2 linked regions of the Yarrowia lipolytica genome follow. The protein of the gene in region 1 purifies or fractionates together with the protein of each later gene. This does not show direct contact. Links are inferred from orthologs where the notes say so. Each region holds a gene or a part of one and is shown in the gene's direction. Other genes may lie near its edges.

Evidence for each region.
Region 2: the proteins of YALI1_D27884g (region 1) and YALI1_D22704g purify together in Saccharomyces cerevisiae (affinity purification with mass spectrometry; 3 studies listed by BioGRID). This does not show direct contact. The link is inferred for Yarrowia lipolytica from reciprocal best matches to the Saccharomyces cerevisiae genes MRPL19 and MRPL3.

The regions. Positions count from the first base shown.
Region 1 is NC_090773.1:2,786,706-2,789,362, forward strand, and holds YALI1_D27884g (mitochondrial 54S ribosomal protein uL11m), read left to right. Parts: upstream 1-1,698; coding exon 1,699-2,157; downstream 2,158-2,657.
Region 2 is NC_090773.1:2,268,479-2,272,100, forward strand, and holds YALI1_D22704g (mitochondrial 54S ribosomal protein mL44), read left to right. Parts: upstream 1-1,928; coding exon 1,929-3,122; downstream 3,123-3,622. Other genes in the region: YALI1_D22691g (uncharacterized protein), read right to left, coding at 351-620, 1,195-1,197. UniProt on the Saccharomyces cerevisiae protein: Component of the mitochondrial ribosome (mitoribosome), a dedicated translation machinery responsible for the synthesis of mitochondrial genome-encoded proteins, including at least some of the essential transmembrane subunits of the mitochondrial respiratory chain.

The DNA.
Region 1 (2,657 bases):
TCGTGCGTTATTGTGTGTGTGTGTGTGTGTGTGTGTCTGCTGTTCCCGTCTGGTTTGCGTGGAGTTTCACGCGGCTTCTGAAATTGATCTGTCACGTGCTTTCGTTCGGTCGTGGGTCACGTGATCGCCTGGTTGCTGTTGTCGTAGATACCACTGCTTTTTCGACGTTCCGTCCACGTCTCTCTATCTCGTGTATGTGGAGACACACCACTCACCCCACAGTGCAAGGAAGTGGCAAAGGCTTATTTGTGGTAGGGTTAGGGTTTTTCGGACATTGGCGACCGAATGGGAATTGTTCTTCTCGAGTGCTTGTAGGTGAGTGAGACCGGGTCGACGGTGACAAAAGTGAGCATCCCCATTTTGTGTGTATTTCCCTTGAGTGAGGCGGCAGATGTGGCTTACTAAGTGGTGGTTTTTGGGTTCAACAACGGAGTTAAGAAATTTCACTTGAAGATTAAGTAGAGTCTAGTGAGGGAGGTGGTAAAGGAAGGTGTATAGTGCAAGTGGATTTGGAGGCTATAAAAGAACAGGGAAACAATTGTTAGGGTTTATTTGCCGTGGTGAACAAGTTGGGCTTCTTTGAATCGTGATTGTAGCACTAGTGCGATTTGTAGTCTGGCTTCAGTTTATGTGGAGCCTTCCGGAGTTAACTAAAGCCAACTGTGAAACAGGGGTTGATCTGAAACACAACAATTGACTGTAAGGGAAGTTGAGACGGAGGGGTGGGGAACCAATCAGATGATTATTTGTAAGTGGGATTGAATGATACATTATCTTGCGTAGGATTCTAGAAGAAATCTCTGGACTGAGCTTGTGTCTGGTTCTTATATTTAGCAGCTGATATCTGCACACGTCGCTGCTATCTACAAACGTGTGGAATCCAATTCGTCTCACAGAGATGCTAGGAAGATGAGAAGTTGATAGTTCAGTTCATCAGAGCTAGGACAACAGAGTAATATTAATTTTGACATTGTTTCATCACTTTACCCTGTTTATCACTACATGTTTTATAACTACAGTATGTACTGTACCATGTTCATACCATGTTTGATAACTACCATGTTCATCACTTTACCATAGTTGAAAGTGGAATCACGGTAAGGGTTCCATAATCCACAAGAGTAGTATAAAACAGAGTATACAACAGATAGAATACCGTTTAGTCTGTTATATGGCCCATCGTTGGATTCATATTGGTGTTATATATCCGTTTAGCACTATGACGCTTCATCTCAGTCTCACAACCCTCAACTGTACTGGTTACAAACCCAAGTAAAATGTAACTAAATTTAGGTGGTGGTGACTGCAGAAAACTTCATTGGAGAAGTCTGGAAAAGACACAGACCAAACTAGACTTGGGTATTACTTCAACATTACAACAATAGCTATCAATTGTCACACAAATATTCTCATTATAACCCGCTCAAATCTCTCCAAATATCGGTTCAAATAAGGTTTCGAGACCAACCTTATCTCTCACCAGATTTAAAATCATCATCTACTGGCTCAAACAGCTGCGCAAGAGAATAAACAAGTTGACAGACATTTTTTGTGCCTCGCTTAGTATTGGTTTAGGACTTTTCGCATCAAAATCAAACATGTTCAAAAAATGCACCACAACCCTTCCCACTCCCGGGTAACCAACTCTAAAGTGAAATTTCACCTGCAGCTCATTCCACTCTCAACATCACCACCACCATGGCTCCCAAAAAAGCGGTCCAGACTGCAAACACCATTGTGAAAATCATCGTTGGCGCCGGTGCCGCCAAGCCCCAGCCTCCCGTCGGACCCGTGCTTGGATCCAAGGGTGTCAAGGCCATTGATTTCTGCAAGGAGTTCAACGCCAAGACGGCCCATTACCAGGACAACATTCCCATTCCTGTTGTGTTGACCATCAAGCCCGACCGAACCTTCTCGTTCGAGCTCAAATCGCCCCAGACCGCCTTCCTGCTTCTGCGAGCCGCCGGGGCCGAGAAGGGAGCTGCCAAATACAAGCCTGGCCGGGATCAGCCCGTTGGCCAGCTGTCTCTCAAACACATTTACGAGCTGGCTAAGATCAAGAAGATGGACTCGCGACACAAGGACCAGCCTCTTGAAAACATTTGCAAGTCCCTCTGTGGAACTGCGCTTTCTGTTGGCGTGGAGATTGTTAACTAGAGGCCTGGACGAGACAGAGAATCAAAGCACACGGGGAAACAGACAGAGCATGTATATAGTAAAGATAAGATGAAGTTATGATTCGATGATGGGAGAGGAAGGAACCTGTCTGATTGGCGTGGTGGAGTGTATCTCGCGGTGGTAATCGATCTTGGCTGGTATGATGCGTTTATTTCTAGAGGTGCACATGGGCTATCGTAAAAGTGCTAACAGACAATAATTTCGCTTGAATAGCGGATTCCGACAGGAACTTCACTTTTTTGAGCTCATCTCTCCCAAGTGTGGCTTTCGATATGTGCCATAACAGCAGCTTAGGTGGGTGAAAGTGCAGTTGCTTTCAGCACCACTTGTTCGGAAGAGATTCCAACTTACGATCCCACCTTGTTCAGTACGGCAACTACAAGTACGAGGTTGGAACTAAAACTACAGTCTTGTGTATTTTACTTCCAATTCTTGTTACAAGTACAATACTCGAGTACACCCAGTGCGTTTGAAGCACT
Region 2 (3,622 bases), about 520 kb from region 1:
GTGGGGAACAACCGATTGGAGTATAACGCCGCCCGAACTACACCCAGTTGAACAGGCAGTACATATACTCATCTGTCGTATCGATTTCATCTGCAGCACGACGGAGTCTCGGCTGGGTCTGCATGTTCACGATACAAGGACTTGTGCTCTCAGACGCTCTTCCAGAGATATTAAACCACAGGATATCTACGCGACACAGGTTTCAAGCAGTAATTGTACGAAATACAAGTAGCCAGACACCCGAAGCATCCTGCAGCGATAGTGATTGGGTCTACAACCAACTTGCTGTGACACTACAAGTAGTGACTGCACAAGTGTCGGCATGGTTCATTCAAATCAATCTATTGTGTTTACTCAGACTCAGCAGCCTCACCGGTGCTGATCTTGCCGTGTCGCTCTCTCCACACGCCGGCAGCGGCATTCCACTTGGAAATGTCGGACTCGGAGGTGATGCCCTCTCGTCGTCGGGTGTAGGGAAGGGTGGCGGTAGAAACCCACAGGGCCAGGCCGACGGCGATGCCGGTGGCGAAAAGGCCGTTGAGCTTCCAGTTGGAGGGGTTGGCCCACCAGCCTCCGGTCATAGAAATGACGTCTTTAGGGAATGGATATCGTCCTCCGCCCTGGGTTAGAAGAGTCAAATGAGACAAAAGCGCCGTTACGGCGAGTTATGGAGTATTGAGAAACGATGATATTAGCTTGGGTCGTTGTTCGTTGCGTCTGGTTGTCGTGCTCGGGGTCCACTGCCTTGAGCGCGTCCGAGCGTTTCCACGAGCAGTGCGATGAGACTGTCATTGGAGTGAACTGAGCAGTGAAAATGACGGGTCCATGACGTTCATTCATTCATACGTGGCATCTCTGCTCACGATCTCAGACACAACTTGACATGCTGCTGCAACCATTGGATGGTCATACCCCACATTCACCCACCGTGTCTGTTCAATGACAGCTCAGATCAAGCGCCGAGGTCAGCTTCGATCTTCCAGCAAGCAGCTCGCACAGCCCTTGTCGTTATCACGCAGCCCTTATCGTTGTCGTTTCACCCAGACACATGTCATCGCATCTCATCTCATCACTGGGTCATATGTCGCTCCAAAGTCCGATTCGAACCAACAAAAAACCACCCATGTCCTCGTCGCATGCGTAGCACACGTTCTCGTCGCTTTCTCGCCCTCCAATCCTTCCGCTCGCACTCACCATTTTGATATATGTTGCAGTTAGTGTGTGGATTACCTTTCTGCAAACCTCTAGTCTTTGGCTGGTCGGTGATTGGTGGTTGGGAGCGAACTCTATTTTTATTAGTCAGCCGGGACACGGATATGGAGACATGCTCGATTCGCCATTATACCAATTTGGATAAATTAGGAAAAATGTGGATAATAAATTGACAAGAATTTTAGGTGATTGCAAAATTAATGACTAAAATATAATTTTTTTGAGATACTCGGGCTGTTTTGGGAACTATTGGGAACATACTCACAACAAGTTGAAACAAATCATAATATAATGATTAAGCTAAAACAAATCAAAATATAATGAACAAGTTGAAACAAATCAGAGTAAATATATGAACATGATCAGAAACTAATGGAGAAATCAATCAGATGATAATTAAAGTGCTAATAAAATCGATTGCATCTTTCAATTTTTTTCATAATTTCAATTTTTCACCATATAATGAAATTCCTCATGTCCCTTCTACATACAGATTACGAGCGTTGTTATATATCAATAATACCACTTTTTTTTGAAAAAAAAAGCCATATACACTAAATAACTCATTTCAAACTATTTATCACTACCCAAACTCTAACAAAGGTCGACACTCGCCCAGAAACTACCACCCTCCTCCCACACCCTAACCCTGTGCATCATGAAAATTTCCCTACAGCTGTACTCACAACTCACTTTCCACATATCACCACGACAGGATGATTCGAACCAGTCGACTTTTGCGGGTGTCTCGAGTGGCCGTGTCCCGGTCCAGACTCATCACGTGCGCCCCGAGAAGCTTCACCTCTGACCACAAACCCAAGACTCCTCCCCAGGCCCCCACCATGGACCCCACAGCTCTTCGGTACCCCAACTCTGATCTGAGTGTCAATCTTCGAGACGTGGCCAAGGGCGACTACCTCGTCCCCGGTGACTTGGCCCGACAGTCGCCTGCTCTCAAAACTCTGCATGCTCGTCTTGGTCTGCCCGAGGCTCTGCCGTTGTCTACTCTGGCCCAGTGTCTGACCTGTCCCGAGGCCGACACTGTGGGAGAGGACGGCCGAAAGCTGGCCGACAACTACGGCATGTCTGTGTTTGGCGGCAGTCTGCTCAAGTATCACGTGACGGAGAAGTTTGTGGTCCAGTACCCCCGGCTTCCTCTACCCATTCTCAACTCACTGCTGGACTCCCATCTGAGTCTGCGATCTCTGACTCGTCTGGCCGAGTCCTGGGGTGTCGAGACCGACCGACGATCTGCCTTTGAGCGACACATGTCCAACGACTCGCTCGCAAACACCCTGGGTTACCTGAGATACAAGCCCGTGGAGGACGACGTCAGCAACGCCTCCAAGGACGGTGTGTTCGACTCCTACACTCCCCGATCCGACGTGAAGAAATACAACCAGAAGCAAAAGAAAAACTCGCAGCACAACTACGACTCGCAGGTCTACGTGTTTGACTCGTCAGCTCCCGAGGGCTACGAGCGATCGGCTGCCCGGTTTGTGCAGGCTCTGGTGGCCGCCATCCACGCACACGTGTCGCGAGACGAGGCGCTTAAGTTCATCGACAACTTCATTCTGTCGCGAGCCGTCGACGTTGAGTCGCTCTTCTCCTTCAACCAGCCCCACAAGGAGATTGTGCGAGTGTGTGCACGAGAGGGACTGGAGCGACCTGAGGCCCGACTCATGGCCGAGACCGGCCGTCTGTCCAAGGCCCCCGTCTTTGTTGTTGGTGTCTTTTCCGGCAAGCACAAGCTTGGAGAAGGCCAGGGAGCGTCGCTTGCCGAGGCCAAGATCCGAGCTTCGGTCAACGCTCTCAAGGGATACTACCTGTACTCCCCCATTGAGCAGACCCGACCCCAGGAAGAGGGGTACAATGGGACTTTTATCGACAAGGGTCCCGTTGTTATTTAGTGTATATAGTAGAGCTGAGGCATGACACAAGGAGTGCCGGAGACGTCGACGTCGAATAAAATGATTCAATGAGCATGGGGAGCGGGAACAGGTATGTTTCGAGTAGACAACTGAATTCTCTGCGATCATTCAGTTTGTAGACTAGCTACATTTTCGTTACCCATTCTACGAATGTTTTGTAAAGAACTGAAGTGGTCTGGTTGGAGTGCACTCCTTACCTATTGCTTGTTGATGATGAAGCAGCATACTTGAAATATTAGTGGAAGGTTCCTGCACCGGAGTCTAGGTGATGATGTCGAGAACGTGGGGCAGAGTCGCGCAGTAGAGAGGATGGTGGAGAGCTGTATACTCGATAAAAACAAAATGGACCAAAATAAAACAGCTTTGACACACTTTTTATTTGTAGACGTCTTTTGCAGTATTCTTGAGATGTCGGTTAGAGAACAGGGAGAGATATACAATTGATGACATCTGCATCAATATAACAGCTACAATAGAGG